Tamandua tetradactyla: one gene and its partner. The main gene of each other region encodes a partner of the protein of the gene in region 2 in a complex. Links are inferred from orthologs where the notes say so. Each region holds a gene or a part of one and is shown on either strand. Other genes may lie near its edges. The genes, in order: GPIHBP1 and LPL.

Region 1 (11,192 bases), on a different chromosome or scaffold from region 2:
TGTCTCTTCATAGAAGGGAGGAAAATCTTTCCCTGTGTGCCTCTCGCGGACAACCTTCACTGGCCCAGGACCAGGTGGTGGCCCAGTTGCAAAGGGAGCAGCAAAGTAAGTGGCTGCTGCAGGGTGGGTGCGGCCATGGCTGTGGGCAAGCAGCCGCTTTGCGACATGTCAGGGGCTCCCCAACGCCAGTGGACAGGCACATGGCTGTGTCCTCGGTACAGCCCCCCAGAGCCCTTCTGCCTAGGGCTGCCCTGTACCCAGGCTGGGGACAGCAGCGGGCAGAGGGAGTTCGCGTGGCCACAGCAGGCTCCAGACAGCAGGGGGCAGTGGGGACCCTGGGGATGCTGAACGCCAGGACAGGGGAGGTGGTCCCTCTGTGAGTCCCCCTGCCTGCTCGAGCATCCCGCCTGTGTGCCCCCTCCTCCCTGATGCCTGGTCATTTGGGTGAGCACGCTCACAAGCCAGCCTCACCCTTCCTTGTGACCCCCTCTCCCAACCCCATCCTACCGGCATCACCTGTCTCCCCATGCCCCAGCTGCTGGGTTCCCTCTGCCTGGCAGACTCCCAGCCTGGCCAATCATCCCCTGAGATCTGTCCCCCCACCTCCTCTGTGAAGCCCCCCACCGCAGTGCTTCTGGACCGTGGCCACCTGTGCCCAGGTGCATCCCTTTCGCCATGTCCCATGCCCCTTCAAGCTCTGGCAATGGACTTGAGTGGGGTCCATGGGGGCTGTGGGGGCTGAGATGAACCCTTCATGTAGGGTCTGTGTCTATGTAATTAGGTAGGGGACCTTGGAGGGGGGGGGGAGATGGCCTGGGTTATCAGGGGGACCCCAGGGCAACCACAGGACGGGGGTATTTGACCATGGAAGGTGAGGCTTGGAGCAGCGCCCTTGGAAGGAGGAGCCACGTGGCAGCTCCAGAGGCTGAAGGAGGAGGACTGGGGTATCCCTGGGCCCACGAGACTAGCTGAAGGAAGGCCCTGCCCATGCCTCTGACCTCCAGAACTGCACGAGGCTCCACTGGAGCAGTTTTAACACCACAGGATGGGTGGTGAACTGGCCCCACTCTTGGATGTCTGGGTGATGCCCAGTCAGGATGCATGAGGGGGCCCCAGGATGCTGGGAAAAGAGGGTGGCACTGAAGCAGAAGCCCCAGGGTAGGCTGTACCCCGGCTAAGGTATGCTCCATACAAAGAGCCTCAAAGAGGGAGGGCCGTTGTTAGAGGCCAGGCTTGGTGGACTCCTCTGGCTTCCAGGGGTGTGGAGGGTGTGGATCTGTCTGCTGAGACCTATGCAGGGCTGCAGGCAGGTGTTTGGAGGGTGTTTTTGTGCAGGTGAATGACAGCATGCAGTATGGCTGTCACCAGGCTTCCTCTACTGGTGAGGAACCCAGGCTGCACAGGAGGTACTTGCTTTAAACACAGGTACATGTGCTGGTGAGCGGGGCCGTCACAGCTCTGGGCTACACGAGTGTCTGTATATTGGGCACTGAGTGCCAGGCCTGGAGCATGAGGCCTTTCTCACTGCAGGCTTCCAGGGAGGGGCTCCTATGACTCCCCTTCAACAGAGGGGGAAGTGGTATGCGGAAGTGGGGGAGTTGTGGGGCTCAGATTTCAATCCAGGCAGCTGTGCTCGAGTGTGTGTGGGTTTGGTGAGTTTGTGTAGATATGCATGTGTGTGTGTGTGAGGGTCTGTGAAGATGTAAATAACAGACAAACCCCAGATAACATTGGTTTCAATGCAGTAGACGTCCTGAGGTAGGCAGGGCAGGGCTGGTACAACACACCCAATCATCAGCCATCCAGGCTCCTTCCTCCACGCTGCCCTACCACTTTTAGTGTGCTACCTCATGGCCCAAAAATAGCTGCTGAGCTCCAGCCACTGTTCAGCCAGCAGGAAGGAGAAAGGGGAAGAAGAAAGGTATGCCGCCTCCATTTAAGGAATGCGTCCCCCCCCCCCCGCCAGGCTTTGGATTTTTATTAATAAGGAAGAGGGGAGAATGGATAGCAGAAGGCGGCTCATTGCCTCTGCCATAGAGGAGAGCAGTCAGATGCGTCCCTGGCTCACATGGGCCAACTGGGAAGAACCTGGCCGGCAGGATAGGACTCTGGACTCCCCAGCCCACAGCATGCTGAGCTAATGGGAATCTAAGGGTCCTCTAAGTGTTTCTCATTGCTCAGATGAGAAAACTGGGGCCCATGTCAGAGGCTGAGCTGTGGCCGGATCTTGGCCTCCCACTGGGGCTATGCCCCGCAGCTGCTGCTGGTGAAAGCAGTGACTGGTGCAGCCAGGAAAGGCACATGCCCAGGAACCAAGCACACCAGCCCAGGCCAGTGGAATCCACAGGCTCCTCACCCAGCACAGGAAGCTTCTGCCTGCCCCCTCTCCCTCCATTAACTTCCCCACCCTCTTCCTCGCCCCTCAGGCTGCCCTGGGCCTCTCCCTCCTGGAGGAGGGGTGCAGAATAAAGCCACTTCTCCCCTGACCACTTGGAGGTAAACATAGTTCCCACATTTGGGAAAGAGCAAAACTTCGCCAGGCTCTCCAGTTGTGGAGAGGGGAATTTCTTTGGCAGGAGGTCCAGGGAGAGACCCTGGGGCAGGGTCCCCCAGCCTGTGTCGCTGGACTTGACAGATGGGGAAACTGAGGAAATGTAGAACGGGGGTGGGGAGGAACCAGTACTGGTCGGATCATTAAAGGAGCTGCAAGTTTATTCTGCGAAGCTGGTGGGGGCGGGACCGCAGGGAAGGAGCCCTTGGCCAGGCCAGGATGGGAGCAAAGAGGCGGTGAGGGGAGCAAGGCGCCGCTGGGGCGGGTCTTCAGGACCCCAACGCCCGCAGGGCCGCGAGGAAACCGAGCAGGAGGGCTGTGCCCACGGCGGAGAGGCTGCCCTTTGGGCCCCCAGCCCCGCTGCCCAGCGGGTTCCGGGCTTGCGGGCTGTGCCAGGGTGGGACGTTGCACAGTGCGGACTGGCAGCAGGCCATGGTCAGCCGGGTCTCCGCTATGGTCTTGGTGACAGCAAGGCACGTGTCTGCACACCACCCCGAGTAGGTGGTCAGGAGACCCGACTCTGGGCGAGAGGGATGGAGATGAGTGCTAGGGGGCCGGGAGGGCCGAGGTAGCTGCACGACCAGGACCGACTTGAGTCCCTCAAAGAGGAGAAGAGGGACCCGGGCGGCTCACTCACCGGTGTCCCCGCGGGACAGGAAGGTTTTGCAGAAGGTCTGGCCGAGGAGGCAGTTGCGGACCTGATCGCAGGCCTCTCCCTCCCGTAGGGACTGGCAGGAATAGCACTGCAACTGGGCTGGGGGGCGGGGCGCGGTGGGTCTCAAGAGGGGCGGGGCTGGGGTCAGAGCGGGCGGGGCGGAGCTCAGGCGGGGCGGGGCCTGGACGCGAAGTGGGCGGGGTTCAGGCGGGGCGGGACTAGGGGCTGAGCCGAAAGCATCCGGCCTGGAGGGCGTCCGGCGCCCTTGGCTCGGGGCGGACGGGCTACCTCGGTCCCTGGCGCCCGGGATCTCGTTGGCCTCGTCGTCGTCGTCGTCGTCGTCGTAGCCGTTCAGCCCGCCGTCGTCCTCGTCCTCGTCCTGCTCCTGCCCTTTCCCTGACCGTGTGCAGGGACGTCTGTAAACCTTGGCTACCCCGGTACAGGGAACACAAGCTCTGGCCGCCCGAGCGCCGCGCCCCCGGGGCCCCGGCCTTGGCCCCTCCGTCCCCCTGCGCCCTACAACCGCCCCCTCCGGCCCCCTGCGCCCTCCGCCCGTCCCGCTCCTGGCCCCCTAGGCCCCCTGCGCGCTTCCCGCGCTCCGGCGTAGCCGCCACACCCGGTACCGACTCCTGCGCCCCCGCGCGCCTTGCGTGGCTGCGGCCTCCTACGGAATAGAATAGAAAATCCAGGCCCGGAGGGCTGAGGGGAACCCCCCCTTCCCTCCCAAAGCTCCGCAGCCAGGAGAGGCCGCACCTGGGTCCTGCCACGCAACCCGCCAGTTCCCTGGAGCTAGGGCGGGTGGGGGTGGGAGGGAGCGGGCGCCCTGGACCCCCAAGGGTCTGGGAGGTTTGGAGAGCGGACAAGAGAGCCCCCATCTACCACCCTCTACCCGGGGGAGCCCAGCTTCAACCTCCTCTTTTCCGATGGGGGCTCTCTCCAGGCCGGGGGTCCCCGCCCCACGCACCTGGCTCTGCGCACAAAATCAGGGCGAGCAGCACAGCCGCGAACACCTTCATAGTTGCTGGAACACGGCTTCCCGGCCACTGGCTGGGCTTTCGCCAGGGGCTCTGGGTCCTGGGGGAGTGGGACGAAGGGCATTGCCTGAGACCAGCTTCCCGGCGCCCCCACCCCGCCCTGCAGGGCCCTGCTGGCTCAGGCTTCAGACAATGGGCCTCCCTCTGGCCCCAGCTCCAGGCACCAGGCCAGGGGCTGTTTCCCTCCTGGACCCCAGGGGCGCCTGAGGGGAAGGGGAAGTTGTTGTGATGGCCTTGGGGTATCCTGTCCACCTGTGAGACCCTGTCCTAAGGTCTGGTCAAAGCTCTGGACACATGGCCCCCCATGGGGCCAGGCTCCCATGCCTCAGGAGTGCCCGGTCGCAGATGCTCTGGGCACAGAGAATGGACCCAGGTGCCTTGCAAGCTTGGAGTCAGCATGTCAGCATTTCAGGGTGTGTTTTAAGAGCATTTTAAATAAAAATGCAGAAACTGCTTAGTCTGTCCTTGCCACTGTGCCTCTCCCGTCTGCTGCCTGCCTCCCAGCTGCCCTGCTCACCTCGTGGTGCCGGGTCCTGGCTGTCCCCTACGCCTGGGATGCCCTTTCCGCAATTGGCCACATGGTCTGTCCCGTGGTCCCTTTCTCAGAAAGGCCGATCCCTCCGGGGGCTGACATGTACGCACCAGTCTAGAGGCTGCATGGTGGCGCTCACCCATTTCTCCTTACAGCCCTAGGGCCTGGAGCTGACCCCCACCGGCTCCCGTGGGTGGAGGACATGAATGCACCATCCGCCATTCCCAAATCCCCCCTGTGCCCCTCACTGCAGACCTATCACTTAGCCCTATTTCACGTGGGGGAAACCGAGGCCATGAGGAGCAGGGATTTGCCCAGCGCCTGTTGGGTACCTGCCAGGGAGCTCTGTCCCTGCTGGCCTGTCGAGGTTGTCCAGGGCAGCCCCACCCCGTGTCGCTGCTCCCTCCTCCTGCTGCCCCGCATCTGCCTCTGCCTTCTGGATGAAGGTTGGCTGGGGGACAGCAAGGGGGAGGGGCCGGGGTGTAGGGTGTGGGCCTGTGAAGGCACTGTTAACCCCACCCTTCTGGCTCTGAGCAGTGTGTTGTGTGGGAGGCCTGGGTTGACAGCTCCCCAGTTCTCTCCTGCGGGTACCCCGGCCTCCAAAGCCCCGAGATGCCCCCTGCCGATTCCCCAAGGGCAGTGTGCTGGAGCCTGGAAGCAGAGGTTTAAGCCCGGTTGCTGTGTGCAGGCCTCATGGCTTGGGCCTCCCTTGAACCTCCCAGGCCTCAGTTTCCCCCATGCTTCCCCGTGGAGAAGAGGCTGAGCTGGACTGAAGAGCGAGGCTGCCTGGCTTTCACCCGGGTCTCCTCTCTCTAACTCTGGGTGCAAGACCAGCCTGGGGTTTTCCAGACCTCAGCTTCTCCCAGGGCCATGACCACTGTGGCAGTCCCAGCAAGGGCTTGGGGTCCTTCAGGATGGGATGACACCTCTCAGAAATCTTGGCAAGCCGTGAGTCTCCTATCCCTCCTCCATGCTTCTCAGATCTGTCCAGGCTCTGCACCCCGTGGCCACCCGGCTGCCCAGCCATTTCCTGTCCTGGTGGCCAAAGTCGCTTGCCCAGCCCTTGTCTCAAGTTCTTCCACCCCCCACATCTTCATTCCTCCTGGCCCAATCCTAGCAGACCCCCGGCCCCTCCTACAGGTGCTTAGACCCATGAGCACAGGAGCACCTCTCAGGAACCCCCAGCTCCCCAGATTGCACTGACCGTCTGGGCTCCCCGGAACCCTGGGGGAGCAGGGGTGGGTGTGGGGTGAGTCTATTGCCGCTAGTCCTGGGCCCAGCTCCGCAAGCCAGTGGTCCTGCGGGAGCTGCCTTGTCTCAGGTGCACACTGCCCGGCCTACCCCGGGGCCTGTGAAAATCTAGAAATAATAATGGCAATATTTAATTCATTAATTAAAATGGTTTGCATTGATTCTCCATAGCTCTGAGGATGGGTGGTCTCTCTTATCACTGCCTTCCAGACCATGGGCTGAGCCACCCACCCTGGGACCCACCCTCACCCCCATGGCTGTGTACTCACGGCCCCTGGGTCACCCTTCTGCATGGTGTCCACTGTTACCCCTGCCTCACCTGGTGCAGGCCCACCCAGGACAGGCCGTGGGGGTCTGGCTAGACCAGGGCTGGTGACTCACCCATGGGGGCAGGCTGCGGGAGACTCTGATGACAGTCCCCTGGTCTGCCTCTCCTGACCCATAGCAGAAATGCCTGACTGTGTGTAGGCCCCCTGCCCCTTCCCCATGCAGGTACCTGGGCGTCCTCTTAGAGGCTTCTGGTCACAGGGCTGTCCCCTGGTGGTGCCTCTCTGCCCCCAGGCTTCTGGACACAGCAGTCCAGAGACCCCCTCAACTCTCAGGGCAGGGCTTCAGGGGGACATAAAGCCCCCAGGGCAGGCCCGTGTACCCCCAGAACCCCAGCAGTCGGGCTATCTACCTTATAAGCCCTGCTGGCAGGCTTGGCTCTTAGCTCCCTTAAAGGGCAGCCTGGTAGCCCCGGCTCTCTGCCCTGCAGACCCCTGGGCCGCTGTGACCTCAAGCTTACCTGCTCAGCCCAGCTGGCCGGGCTGGCTCCCGGGGGTGGCCTTTGGGCTGCTGTGTCCACCACCGGGCCTGGCTCCCCGACCTCGGGCACCGGCGTGAGTCATGCTACTCTTTCTGGCAGCCGTGGCCTTGGGCTTAGAGCTCGGTGCCAGCTGTGGACAAGGGCCGCTGCTGTCCACACTCCCTCCTGCCCCTGTGGCGGGCAGGGTTGGTGTCCTGACAAGGCTGGGCCGGGATGCTGGGAATATAAGGTCCCATCAGGGCTTCCATCTCTTCCCCTATTACCCTGCTCCCACCCTGTGTTGGCCTCTGGGGACAGCAAGGTGACTGGGACCTGGACTTTGCTCTGCCATCCCTGAGGAGGTAGCTTATGCCTGGGGGTGGGTGGGGGATGGGGTATCGGGGGGGCTTCCTGGAGGAGGGCGCGTGGGTCCTGGGATATGGTGAATGGTATTGGCTTGTGGGGAGGGGGCGGCTGTGAGTGAGGATAGGCCGCCCTCCCACCTGGCGGGACGCAGGCAGTGGCAGCTGGGGCCTTTTGGCTCCTGGAGGGCAGGTGTGGGCTGCAGGTTAGAAACACTTTAAAAACGGTGAAGTGAAACGCCGTGTGCAGCTGCATGAGAGAACAAAGCTGTCAGTCCTGAATCAGAGAAACCTTAAGTGGGTAATGCACAGGGCACAAGGGTGTGGAGATGCGTGAAAAGGCAGGAAGTAAGGACTGCATTCATGTTGTGTCTTCATAAAGGGACTCTGCCACCGCTGGGCTGGCTTCCTGTAGTGTGTGTGTGGCACCACACTGTTTTATTTCAACCCTCAAAGAACACAAGGAGGTGACAGCTTCTGATGCCGATCCGTGCAAGTAGTAAGAAAGGAACAGAAAAAAATACTAACAACCAAAGGAAAAATCGTTAAAACTCATGTCCAAGGGGGTGCTTGGGCAATATTGGCAGGACAGTGCTTGGAGCTTACCCCCCAACTCTGGCAAAGAGCAGCCACGTCTTCTGAGAGTCCACACGCCGAGTCACTGTGCTGCGCCGGGCTGCAGACTTTGTCGCTGACCTGGGAAGGCAGCCGGTGCCGTGTGCGCTCGCAGCAGCCATGAGAACCGGGACCAGCTTTCCAGGAGCGCGCCGGGAGTCGCTGCTGGTCCCAGCCCTTCTCTTTACCAACCTAAAAGTCAAGTTCTGATTGGGATTTCTCAGCCAACCCAGCACTCAGAGGCTCCGCCGGCGGCTCCGGTCTCTCTCTTTTTTCAATTGTTGATAACAGTTTTATTTGTAGTAGCAGAAAGCTGGAGAGCATCTAAATGAATATCAGTTGGGAAACTGATTAATAATACACCGTGGTTCATTCATAGAAAGAAATATGCTACAGTACAAAAAAAATGAGTCAAAATGGATGAATCTCACTCATATCATTTTGAGTAAAAAAGCAAGTGCATTGGGTGGGCCACGGTGGCTCAGCAGGTAAGAATGCCTGCCTGCCATGCCCAAGGACCTGGGTTCGGTTCCCCGTGCCTGCCCATGTAAAAAAAAAAAAAAGCAAGTGCAGAAGCTGACAGTATGACATTATGCACATTTGATTTTTCACTTAATTTTTACAAATATTTTTATTGACAAATCTTTATACACAGACATTCCATACAGGGTGTACAATCAATGGCTCACAATATCCTCACATAGTTGTATATTCATCACCATGAGCATTCTTTTTAGAACATTTGCATCACTCCAGAAAAAGTTAAAAGAAAAGAATTCATAAATCACATACTCCTCACCCCTCCCTCTTATGGACCACTAGTATTTCCATCTACCCAATTTATTTCACCCTTGGTCCTCCCTATTATTATTTATTTATTTACTTTGGGATGTCCAGGGTCCATATTTTTTTTAAACTCATCTATCCATACCATGAATAAAAGGAGCATGAGACAAAAGGTTTTCACAATTCCATGGTCACATCGTAAAAGTTATATCTCTCTACAATCATCTTCAAGAATCAAGGCTATCCAGTTAGCCATTTTAAAGACAGTCCTTCGCCCCACTGTTGGTGAGTGTTTCATCTGAAGCATGAGATCAGGGTTGGAGCAACAGTGGCTCAGTGGCAGAGTTCTTGCCTGCCGTGCCAGAGACCTAGGTTCAATTCCTGGAACCTGCCCATGAAAAAAAAAAAAATGGGAACACATAAAACATGGAATCAGGTTCTGCTTCACATGCAAAAACAAGGCTGAGTATGTTTAGTAGTGAAATATATGTATATATGTTTGTGCTTTTCTTTTTTTTAAATTTTTTTGTTAATCAAAAAAAGAAAAGAAATTAACATAACATTTAGAAATCATTCCATTCTACACATGCACTCAGTAATTCTTAGTATCATCACATAGATGTATGATCATCATTTCTTAGTACATTTGCATCGATTTAGGAAAAGAACTAGCAAAACAGCAGAAAAAGATATAGAATGTTAATATAGAGAAGAGAATTAAAATAATAATACTAATAAAAAAATATATATATATAAAAAAGGAAAAAGAAAAAAACAAAAACAAAAGATACAAACAAACAAACAAACAAACAAAAAACTATATTTCAGGTGCAGTTTCATTCAGTGTTCCAACATAGTTACATTACATTTAGGTATTATTGTGCTGTTCATTTTTGAGTTTTTGTATCTAGTCCTGTTGCACAGTCTGTATCCCTTCAGCTCCAATTACCCATTATCTTACCCTGTTTCTAACTCCTGCTGGTCTCTGTTACCAATGACATATTCCAAGCTGATTCTCAAATGTCGGTTCACATCAGTGGGACCATACAGTATTTGTCCTTTAGTTTTTGGCTAGACTCACTCAGCATAATGTTCTCTAGGTCCATCCATGTTATTACATGCTTCATAAGTTTAGTCTGTCTTAAAGCTGCATAATATTCCATCGTAGGTATACGCCACAGTTTGTTTAGCCACTCGTCTGTTGATGGACATTTTGGCTGTTTCCATCTCTTTGCAATTGTAGATAATGCTGCTATAAACACTGGTGTGCAAATGTCCGTCTGTGTCTTTGCCCTTAAGTCCTTTGAGTAGATACCTAGCAGTGGTATTGCTGGGTCGTAATCCATTCTGCCAGTCTATGTCTTTTGATTGGGAAATTCAGTCCATTAACTTTTAGTGTTACTACTGTTTGGATAATATTTTCCTCTACCATTTTGGCTTTTGTATTATATATATCATATCTGATTTTCCTTCTTTCTACACTTTACTCCATACCTCTCTCTTCTGTCTTTTCGTATCTGACTCTAGTGCTCCCTTTAGTATTTCTTGCAGAGCTGGTCTCTTGGTCACAAATTCTCTCAGTGACTTTTTGTCTATAAATGTTTTAATTTCTCCTTCATTTTTGAAGGACAATTTTGCTGGATATAAAAGTCTTGGTTGGCAGTTTTTCTCTTTTAGTAATTTAAATATATCATCCCACTGTCTTCTAGCTTCCATGGTTTCTGCTGAGAAATCTACACATAGTCTTATTGGGTTTCCCTTGTATGTGACAGATTGTTTTTCTCTTGCTGCTTTCAAGATCCTCTCTTTCTCTTTGACCTCTGACATTCTAACTAGTAAGTGTCTTGGAGAATGCCTATTTGGGTCTATTCTCTTTGGGGTACGCTGCACTTCTTGGATCTGTAAATTTAGGTCTTTCATAAGAGTTGGGAAATTTTCAGTGATAATTTCTTCCATTAGTTTTTCTCCTCCTTTTCCCTTCTTTTCTCCTTCTGGGACACCCACAACATGTATATTTGTGCACTTCATATTGTCATTCAGTTCCCTGATCCCCTGCTCAAGTTTTTCCATTCTTTTCCCTGTAGTTTCTGTTTCTTTTTGGAATTCAGATGTTCCATCCTCCAGTTCACTAATTGTAGCTTCTGTCTCTTTAGATCTACCATTGTAGGTATCCATTGTTTTTTCCATTTTTTCTTCTTTGTCCTTCACCACCATAAGTTCTGTGATTTGTTTTTTCAGATTTTCTATTTCTTCTTTTTTTTCAGCCCATGTCTTCTTCATGTCCTCCCTCAATTTATTGATTTGGTTTTTGAAGAGTTTTTCCATTTCTGTTCGTATATTCAGCATTTGTTGTCTCAGCTCCTGTATCTCATTTGAACTATTGGTTTGTTCCTTTGACTGGGCCATATCTTCAATTTTCCGAGCGTCATCCATTATTTTCTGCTGGTGTCTGGGCATTTGATCAGATTTCCCTGGGTGTGGGACCCGGCTGGTTGAAAGGTTTTTCTGTGAAATCTCTGGGCTCTGTTTTTCTTTTCCTGCCCAGTAGGTGGCGCTCGTGGCGCTCGTCTGTCTGCGGGTCCCACCAGTAAAAGATGCTGTGGCTCCTTTAACTTGCCA
Region 2 (10,874 bases):
CTTTCTTCCTCCCTCCCTCTGTCTTTCCCTCCCTTCCTTCTTTCTTTCCTTCCTTTATGGGGTCACAATCTCATGCAATAGAAAGATGGTAAATAATACAATTGCAGCACAAGGAGTAGTGACAAACTCTCAAAGGGAAGTCTGGAAAACGCCATGGAGGAGACAGTACCCCAGATCCTCAAAGAAGAAAACAAAGATTTAATGAATTGCTATGGCTCAGCAATTCCACTCCTAAGTATGTTCACAAGAGAACTGGAAACATTTCCACACAAAAACTTGTACATACGAATGTTTAAAGCAACATTATTCATAATAGCCAAAAGGTGGGACAAACTGATAAGTGGATAAATAAAACGTGGCATATATCCATACAATGGAATATTTGGCAATAAAAGGGAATAATGTTTTGCCATGTCCTTCAGCACAGATGAACCTTGGAAATGCGCTAAGTGAAAGAAGCTAGTTACAAAAAAGCTCATATGGTATGATTCCATTCACAGAAATGTTCAGAGTAGGCAAATCCACTGAGATAGAAAGACACCTATGCCTGGGGTAGAGAGGAAAGGGGAGTGACAGCTAATGGATTGGGGAGTTTCTTTGGTGTTGATGAAAATGTTCTAAATCCAGGGATGGTTGCACAACTCTGTGAACGCACTACAACCATTGAATTGTAAACTTTAAGTGGGTAAATTGTATGGAAAGAGATTCATATCTTAGTAAAATTATGCCTCTGCACTGAGATTTAATATAAACATTAATGGATTAATATACGTAAATTCTTAGAATAATGCCAGATACATAATAAGTGCTATATGAGGTTAGCTGTTTTTATTACTAGATAAAATGCAAAATAAATTATGAAAGACCATATTCACTTGCTAGATTGGTAAAGATTTTTTTAAAAAGGTCAGTAAATATGTGGTAATGATCAAGATGTTTAGAATCACTCGCTCTTAAACACTGTAGGTGGGAATGCAAATTAGCACAGTTTTTTTTTGTAGTGTAAGTTGGGTTTGCTTATAGAAATGATAAATATTCATACCTTTTGATTCAATAATTTCAAAGACTTGACCTTTGTTCACTACTGCATGGCTTGTTTTGTCAAAAGACCTAAATGGGACCATGGTGGCTGAGCGGCAAGAACGCTTGCCTGCCATGCCAGAGGACCCAGGTTTGATTCCCAGTGCCTGCCCATGTAAAAAAAAAAAAAAAAGACCTAAATGACTATTAATAGGGGTCTGGTTTAATAAATGACAGTGTACCATACAATGGAATATTACATGGAAATTAAAAGAAAAAACAAAAGGGACTCTTCTGGTATGAGCTCATCTCTAAGACATATTGATAGGAAAAACTTGCAGAACAGTGCTTATGGCAACCTACTGTAAAAAATATGTATGTGTGCATGAATATCCACACATTTACAAATACAGCTATGCTTTATATGCATTGACTTTTCTGGAAGCATACACACAAAGGGAAAAGTAGCTGCTTCTGGAAATGGGATTAGAGGTCAGAGAAAGACTTTAATTTAGTTTTGCACTGCTTGGACATTTGGGGCGTGGGGAGGTAGATCAAAAGTCTATTCATTTTTTAACTAAAGAGTTAAATGGAAGACAAAAAAAGATATATGAGGCCAGCAAAATGTTCCCATCAAATAATATGGCCCTCCATTTCCCTACACCCAGATTTGGCTTAACTAGAATAGACCGCAAGGAAGATGTTTGGGAGGAAATGTGTAGGTGTGTGCGTATTTTTGTAGGTCTTTAGCTGAAGTTTTATAATTAATAAACCTAGTGGAATTTTAAAAGAAAAACTTTACAGAATCCTGCTTTCTCCCCATTTCTCACTGGGTCATCTTTCACTCAGTGCTATTAACTTATCCAACAATATTGACAAAGAATTGTCTAGCTCCCCAGCACTGTGAGATGCTGTGGGGAGTACCACTGGGGTATCTTCCTTCAAGTTACTTATATCTTAATGAATGAAATGAGAAATGATCAAATAACTATATATAAAGTCAATTCTGTTTCAAGCCTTTTAAGCCAGTATTTTTGAGATGCTGCAGTATCACCAGAAGATCAGCAGGGGGCACCTCAAACACATCCTCTGCGAATGTGAGCCCATCCACACACACACACACACACACACACAAATCGGTTTCTCGACTATTCAATTCATTAAATAGGTCACACAAAAAGTCTTTTTTTTAAATCTCCTACACGAACTTAAGTTTTTTTGTTCTGTGTTTTGGTATCTATTTATGAACAAATGTGGGTTATAAATCCATTGGGCTATGGGACATTCTTTTAGATTTTGTAGACTGTTTTCTAGTAAAGGCCTGCTTCCCTCTTCCCCTTGGCCTTGCTGCAGTTCCACTGTGTCTGTCTGTCTGGTATGTTTTGTCTTTCCCATTTACCATATAGCCCTGTGCCATGCAAATGCATTGACTTTTATTTTCTTTCCTCTTTTTGAAAATTATTTTTTATTGTTCATAACTTTATTCAAAAAAATTTTAGTGCTGATATCGAAATGCGATTTCTCTGTTTATTTTTCTTTGTTTTTTTTGTGGAAGGGGATCAAGGAAGAGGATTAATATTCTCAACTCAAGAAGACGAAAATTCTTAAAATGTGTCTGAATTATTTCAGGCCATACCTTGAAAATTTGAAGCAGTTATCCCCACATTCCATATACCCCCCAAAAGTCAAAAGGTGCTCTTGAAACTCAAGCCTAATGGGGAGAGGGGTTAGTAGGAAATTGGCTAAATGCAATAACTATTTGTGCTTTCCTTGTTCTGGGACACCCAACTTTGCCAAGGGAGAGCTGTATTGTCTGAATTTCTTCTTCCCTGAACTAATCTACTTGGAATTACTGCAAAAAAAAAAAAAAGCTTTGTTGGGTAATGGATAAAAGAAGGGCTCTGCAGACCAGCACCTCCACTCATCTGGGTCAGCTCCAGCTTCAGATACTAGATGGTTCTGCCTTCAACCCAGAGCTGCCAGCCTCAGCCCTGCCGTCAGAGCACCGGCTGTTTACAGATCTGCCTTCTGCTCCTCCCTGTGCAGAATTTAATGTTGGGCTGTGGGTAGGTTGTAGTGGAAAAGCCCTTTATGACAGTTTTAGTAAATATCTTGTTTGTTGTTGTCGTTTTAGAAAACATTTTTCTCTTACCCTTCTGGTTTTTTTTTTTCATAGATTTTACATACTATTTAAATTTATGGTTTCATATTCTTCAATTTTCTTTATATTAGCTGTGCTTTTTATTCTACATCAAATATAATTCTTTGTGATGAAGACCAGATTCACTTCAGTACTGACACTTTTGGGGCCCACTTGTCATAGAGTTTAGCAAAAAAAAAAAAAGCCACAAAATTAAAAATCAGTACTAAAATATGCTTGTACAAAAACCATCTGCCTCCCAGCCTTTTTTGATTTGCAATTACAGTAACATTAAAATATAGCACAGCAACTATATTTTCCTTCTCTCCTGGGATTGCCAAAGAAAAAAACACTTTGAGATTTGTGGTTATTGTTGTTTAATCTTTTCTGAGCTTCATCTCCCTTTATCTATACAATGGGGGGTATTATTCACTTCAGAGTGGTTTTTGTAATGATTAAATGCAGAATGAAATGAAAAGGGCCCATAATCGTGCGTGAAAAATAGCAGGTCCTCAATCAAAATGAATATTTAGAGGACTGAGAGATGACAGATAAATATATCAATAGATAGACTGACGGAAAGAATTAGATGATAGATAGATAGTACCTCCCACATGCGGAGTTTCCAGTGTGTACACACGTTTAATTTTTCACTTACATCATTTCTAACTTACACCGCAGCGAGGTCCTGCTTTAAGGATACTTGCTTAGTTAGACATTTATAAAAAAGCTTAGCTTTTAAAAGTTTTTGAAGCGTCAAGTTTTGTAAGCCTGCTACAAAGGAAATGTCCTAATGGAAAAGTTAAGCCCCAAGTTACCCGTGACCAAATAACCTTGCTGAAGCTTGGAAGAGGCCCTTCTCTAAAGCACTTGCCGTCCTTCTGACAGATCATGTGAACTTCTGGGGGAGCACGCGGGCGTCTGCTCGCCCCCCCCCCCCAGTAGCCAATCAAGAGAGGGCCTTGCCGTCACACCCACCTGCCCATCGCTTGCTTCCAGGAGCGCACCCAGCCTGGTTGCTTCTCTGCAAGGCTGAGCGGCTCTGGGTTAATTCTTCCTGGAAATCTCTGCAGCTCTAACGGGTATGCACAGTTAGAGCACAGGTCACTCTAAAACTATCTCCATTTTTTTTTTTTAAAGCTCCGCCGACTCTGAGTTGGTTTAATTTTGTTAACTGTTAACTTGGGAAATCATTCTTAAAATACATTATAAGCACCAGACTTCCCTTTATTGATTACATAAAATCCCCCCTTGAAGTTTCTGAAAAGCACAGGAGTGCAGATTCGTTTGGTTGTCCTAGCAAATGATATGTGTGCATGAAAGTGTTTGCATTTTCTATTCCATATGAAATGGTATGCATTTGTGCATTTGGATTTATACGTCCTTTGTACCACGAGCACATTCAGTGCAACCGTACTTATCGTACGTCCTTTTTAAAATTAGAATTTACTATGCAAATTTTTTCGAGGACTGTCATAGTTATTTGTGCCCTGCATGGTTTGTTCTGCCGCTTGAAAGTTCTTCTGAGGTCTTTCATTCTTGGCAGGTTCCAAGATTCTTCTACATGCCTCATAGGATGAAATGAGTGTGCACGACATATTGTTTAAGAGCTGCAATGCCAGATGATACACTGTGCTGCAGCACTGAACATGTCAGTTTAAAGACAGAACACTATTCTACAGAATAATAATTCTTCATTTATTTGGGTGTATCAGGTTTTATTTTTTGAGAGAAACTCAAAATATGAGACTAATTAAAATTGTATGGTCTTTCTGTCTTCTCACCTACAAATACACATTGTGTGTGTGTGTGTGTGTGTGTGTGTGTGTGTAGGGATGTGTAGAAAGAAGCATTAAAGATATTTAAATCCAGTATGACAGATTGGGGATTCTAATTTTTCAGCTATAAACTGGGGAGTGGGGGGTAGAGTTCATTGTCCTTCCTGACTAATGTCAGTCCTTTACATTTAAAAGTATATTTGAGGTGGTGCAAGGGTGGTTCAGTGGCAGAATTTCCGCCTGCCATGTGGGACACGCAGGTTTGGTTCCCGAACCCTGCACTTCCCCCTCCCCCCACAAAAAAGTATATTTGGAAGTATTTTGAGCATTTCAGCAGAAAATCACATTATCCAATCTGATTTTATTTTTCTTATTTTACTTGGATATCTTAGTATACTTTCTTAAAAAGCTTTATTGATATAATTTATACACCATAAATTTCACCCAATTAACATGCACAATTCAATGGTTTTCAATTTTTTGCAGAGTTTATCACCATAAACCAATTTCAGAATACTTCATCACTTCCCCCAAAAGCCTTATGCCTATTAGCAGGCACTCTATATGCCCCCCCCTCACTCATCCCTCATGCCCTGACAACCACTGATGTACTTTATGTCTATATATTTGCCTATTTCAGACATTTCACATCCATATAATTCTACAATCTTTGTCTATTGTGAACAGTTTCTTTCACTCAGCATAGCTCAATACACTTTTAAATTATTGGAACCAGGCACTTTGCATCTGAGGATCAGATGATGCATCCTTGCATTCCTTGATGAGTTTGAGGATTGGTTATAATTTACAAGAGGCAAAAAACAAAAACTAGTTAAATAGGCTTTTCTCAACCACGTTAAACAGATAACTTGGCAGTGTTAAAAAAATATTAGATTGTGCAAGCACAGCTGCATAGCAATGTGTGTCCATAGGTCCCTAAAGTAACATTGTGACCGAGAGGATTCTGGAAAAAAAAGAAAAAGAAAACAAATTGTGCAAGTTAACAAACAGGATCCACTAAATGAATGGATTGAAGTATTGACCAAATGTAGTTTAACAGCCTAACTTCCTCTCCTTCGAAAACTGGTGAACAGGCAGAAGTATAATATTTAACATAAATCGATAAAAACCTGTGCTGGATGCTTCTGTACAGGGCTCTGGAGCGCCAGACTCCTAAGGGAAAGCTAACAGGAACCCAAAGGAAAGCAAACTTTCCCTGCTGCCCTTTCCCCCTCTTCTCGCTGGCAAAGACGATCCTCATTACAGTTTGCTCAAATATCTGGAAGTGGATTTAGGGCCCACCCCACCCCCCAACTTATGCTTTTATAGCCAATAGGTGATGAGGTTTATTTGCATATTTCCAGTCACATAAACAGCCCTGTAATGGGAACAGTGTCAGACTCGATTCCTCCTCCTCCTCCTCCTCCCCAGAGGAAACCTGCCACTTCTAGCTGCCCAGCCTTTCCCTTTAAAGGGAGACTTGCCCCGCGCGAAACCGCCGCTCCAGCCCTCTCCCTCCTGCGGCTCAGCCCGCCAGTCGGTCGGTCCGCGCCAGCCCGCGCGGCGCAGCTCCTACAGAGGACGCCGCGGAGATGGAGAGCAAAGCCCTGCTCCTGGTGGCCCTGGGCGTGTGGCTCCAGAGTCTGATCGCCTCCCGCGGCGGGGTGGCCGCCGCCGACAGTAAGTTTTGCAGGCACTCTCCCCTCCACCTGCAGATGCGTCTCCGTGACCACTTCCACGCCCTCTGAAGATGGGAAAGAAGATGTTAAAAGGAGCTGGGGATGCGCACCGGGGACTCCCTCTGCGGGAGGGAACCCAAGAAGGGCCACGGACGTGGGGTCGGGAAAAACAGGGAAGGAATTCTCCCTCGGATCTCTACGGGGTCGGCTCCGAGTTCCCGCTTTCTCTTTCTGGCGGGTTCCCGCGCGGTGCGCTCCGCTGGCTCGGCGTTCAGGGACTGGCGGGCAGAGGCGGGGGAGGGCCCGGGGGTGTGACGGGTGGGACCCGGGAGGGGAAAGGCCAGGATGGCGTGACCCGCAGCACTCCCCGTGCCGGGGGCGGGGGGAGAGGGCTGGGATAAAAGGCACGCAGCCCAAGGTGACCCCGGCTTGGCGGAGGCGGCAGCTCAGACACCGCCAGTGGCAGGCGAACGGAAAGTGCCACCCTCTCTTGGAGGAGCCGGCCTGGGGAGGGTGGAAGGAGCTGTCGCTAGTTTGGAAGCACAGGGTACCAGTGATCTCTAGCAACCTTTGCGCTCCCGAGGGGTAGTGGGGACGCGGGGCGCGGTGTTCTGGTCATGCCGCGTCGGGTATGCGTTAGGACGCCGGGGAAAGTCTCCAGATCCACTCTTGCACGCTCTGCTTTTCTTAGAGGAGAGTTGACCCTCCTGAAAACGTGGCAGTGACCAGCAGCGTTGGGGGATGTCAGCAGCGACTTGGGGGCTGCACAGGTTATTCCCGTCTGCATAAGTTTTTCTAGCCGAGGCCAGCGCCACGCGCCCAGTGCGGCGGTGCAACCGCGCACACGTCGGGCCTCCGGGCGCCGCAGGGAGGCACTGGGCGATCTGGAGCTGGAGTGCCGCCAGCTAGCGAGTGAGGGCATTTGAGGCGAGGTGCAATTTCCTTTATTGCAGGAAAAAGAAGCGCCCAGCCCGCCATAGAGTCAGTCTGCATAACTTGAACCTTGGTTCCCGTAAAATACAACAGCAACTAAAGAGGCAATTGAAGCAAATTTTCTTTTTCCTTTGATGCGATTCCACTTAGGGTGGTGTAGATGGATGTGCTTTCAGGCGGCACGTCCAAAGCGGCTCAAGTTATAGTCGAGTTTGTCCATGACTTTGCAAGCTGAAAGCTTATTTTACTTTGGCATTGAGCTGTGAAAGAGATTTTTTGTTAGATTAAAAAAAAATGTAATCCCATTAATTGCTGAATGGGATGGAAAGATTTACAATGATCTTTTCTGTCAGATCAGTTTAAGAACACTAGGTCAGTTAGAAAGTCTTAAGTATCTTGATATTGAATTCCCCTCGATAGTGTTTAACACTGGCCAAGATGATGGTAGAATGAACTCCAAATTCTTATTTCCTAAAGTTTACCATAGTACAATGTTATTTTTACCAGAAGCTTCACATGAGCATGTGTCATCCACATTTTAGGATTTGTTATCCTCTCTTCTAGGTTCACAATCCTAAATTCTTGGGCAAGTGAGTGTCACCTCTCTGGGTTTAGCCTCCTTAACTCAAAAATGAGGCATTCGAACTATACTGAACATTCTCTAAGGCCCCCCTAATTCTTAACTTTTTATTAAAATGGACACGTTAATTAAAGTGATTTTAACCAACATGTGCTTTCCCTGGCTGATAATGCATGAAGGAAGAAATCATTGCTAACTTGAAATTTCTTCCTCTCATCCCCCACCCCCAACTCAACCTCCACCCCACAACCATTTATGCCTCTCCCACCAGAGAAGGCAGTTTTCCTCCCCTTTTCCAACAAATGAAATCATTCAGGAAGTTGAGAATTTCAGGATGGGAAAGGCACAGGTGTGGAGAAATGGTAGGTAGCATCTCCATTGGACCCTTACTTGATTCATTCATTCTCTATTTCTTTCCCAGAAGAAGATGAGGATATGAGGCCCTTCCCTCGAGCTCTCTGCTCTGGGAGCCACCACAATCTCTCTGCATCCCCAGATGGAAACTTGAATTGCTGGGAGAGGGACACCTGGGTACATGCTCAGTCGCTGTGGTCCTATTTGGCCACAGTGAATTTCTCAGGCCAACATCTGAGTTAAACATGATGGGTGATGAGAACATAATAGCAGATGTCACTTTTCTCATAAAGTTGAGCTCAGCAAGCAGGGGCGTGACTAATTAATAGCTGTACTGAAAAGTGGGAGTCAGGCACGGGGGAAGAGTTGCAAGGGAAATTTTTCACTTTTAAGCAGTGTTATTTTTAGCCCAGACTTCTATTTTTTTTGCTTCATGTATGAGAAAAAAAATGGGCTATATAGTTTACTGCCTCTATTATGTCGATTGTTCCAGAAAATGCCTTGAAACATACAATATGTTACCACTGGTTTCCTTTCTCACGAACACCTGTTCCCACCTCATATTCCCCTGCATTCAATGTGAAGCTGTTCTAGCAATCAAAATGATTACTGGGTGGGCCACGGTGGCTCAGCAGGCAAGAATGCTTGCCTGCCATGCCAGAGGACCCGGGTTCGATTCCTGATGCCTGCCCATGTTAAAAAAAAAAAAATGATTACTGATGCTGACTTTAGATCACACAGTGTAAGAAAATTATTCAAGCCATAAGTATCAAGCTTTTAGGTCTGAATGAAAATACTGTTGCAGAATTTACTCAATGCATTTCCCAACTTTTATGGCAACAAATATTCAGGTGTAAAACTTTTGTAAATTTCAGGCTAGTTGTATTCACTTTCTATAGTTTGTCACCTGAGTGAACTAAACAATTTTTATCAACAGAGACTTTTTAAGTCTCTGGGAATGAATCTTTGTCAAAAGTAGCTTTAATCACACTCTCTCTTTGCAAAACTTGGAGGCTCTGTTAGTTTCTGAAGGGGAAATATGATAGAACACCCAAGCTCACTCAGAGACTAGGTTTGAGATTTGTTGTTGAAGAGTCTTTGTTCACCTAATTATAAATTTGTACATTGCTGGCTGTGGCCATTTAAAACATGTCTGTGTGCTTGACACCATTTGGGTTTTCAATAAATGTCAGATATGATTAGAGAGGGAAATAAACATTTACTAGGAAAGAAAAAATGGATTCACCTTAGTTTAAGAGAGAGAGAGAGAGATGGGGGCAGAGTTGGGGATACATATTTAAATATGTGCCACTTATTTCTTTGCTCTTCACAATCTATTCTCTCAGAAAGTTCAAAATTTATATCAGATAATTTTGTAATTTAGACTCTTTAAATGAATAAAAGAAAATGGCCCCACTACTATTTGGCAGTGAAATAGAACAAAGAAGCCCAAACTGGTATGGCTACACTCTAATTTAGAAATATTATTCTGGCTCGGGTTAATTTTGAGTTTAATATATACGTTTGCAGAAGCTTTAAAATAGTATGAAAACTTGGACTTTTTGGATGGGTGGTGGTGAATACAGGTGAATGGATTTGAATCGAGAGCTTCTCAACAGCCCTCCACTCAAGCATATAACTGTCTTGAAATCAGTGATGTACTTTTGAAAAAAATGTTGGTTTTCAGAGTCAATTTAGATGAAAAATAGCATGATGCTTAGCGTCTACATTTCAATGAACAGAATATACTCCATATCTTTTACCCAGATTCCCGCAAGTAAAACAACTATTACACACATATCATCGGCTCTGATTGTGTTTAGTTTGAGGCAGTTGGATGCTTCCGTTTGCCCTCTTTATCAATGAGAAGAAAGTCATTTCAGATTAACAGTTTGAGAATTTTGTATTTCAATTTTTTAATTCTTGATTTAAATATGCCTACGTATCACTCAATCAAAATATTTATTAACCAATTCACAGTACCCTTTTGAGCAGTGATAGCTTCCACTTGTTTTTTCACACTCAGTGGTCTAAATTAACTGGGCAATTGTAACACACATATCCAAGCCTGTTTTTTTTAAACCTTTCTTTTCAGTAGGGTGGAAGTTTATTCCGAATATTAGAGAAAATTTGGCATCAAATGAATTCATATGTGAAATATAGAATTTATTTTTACTCCTCATTTAGTGGAACAAATACTTTTCTCTGTAAAAATGAAAAGTAAATAAGCTTGTTAGATACTTCAAGAGCATTAATTCACTGTCTATATTGGAATATCTGTAAAGACCAGCAATTCATTCAGAAAATTTATTGATTTTTTTTCCCTCGTCAAACAAGTCAATTCAGCAGTTCAGCTTGTTGTGCTTTTTGGCATCCTGCAGACCCTGCCT

Evidence for each region.
Region 1: the proteins of LPL (region 2) and GPIHBP1 are in contact, whole or in part, in a crystal structure (PDB 6OAU), measured with the Homo sapiens proteins. The link is inferred for Tamandua tetradactyla from reciprocal best matches to the Homo sapiens genes LPL and GPIHBP1. Residues at the interface, in NP_000228.1 of Homo sapiens: Tyr367, Gly368, Thr369, Ala371, Glu372, Glu374, Leu403, Met404, Lys406, Lys430, Lys440, Ile443, Cys445, Ser446, Arg447, Glu448, Val463, Lys464, Cys465, His466, Asp467, Ser469; in NP_835466.2 of Homo sapiens: Cys68, Lys69, Ser70, Leu92, Ala94, His95, Gly96, Asn97, Thr98, Glu99, Ser100, Leu103, Thr104, Thr105, Ser107, Trp109, Cys110, Thr111, Asp112, Ile117, Lys119, Val121, Glu122, Thr124, Val126, Met128.

Annotation. Positions count from the first base shown.
Region 1 is NC_135332.1:83,687,385-83,698,576, forward strand, and holds GPIHBP1 (glycosylphosphatidylinositol-anchored high density lipoprotein-binding protein 1), read right to left. Parts: upstream 5,160-11,192; 5' UTR 4,916-5,159; coding exon 4,758-4,915; intron 4,281-4,757; coding exon 4,171-4,280; intron 3,603-4,170; coding exon 3,495-3,602; intron 3,306-3,494; coding exon 3,189-3,305; intron 3,072-3,188; coding exon 2,821-3,071; 3' UTR 2,695-2,820; downstream 1-2,694.
Region 2 is NC_135329.1:20,509,907-20,520,780, forward strand, and holds the start of LPL (lipoprotein lipase), read left to right. Parts: upstream 1-6,338; 5' UTR 6,339-6,530; coding exon 6,531-6,618; intron 6,619-10,874. UniProt on the Homo sapiens protein: Key enzyme in triglyceride metabolism.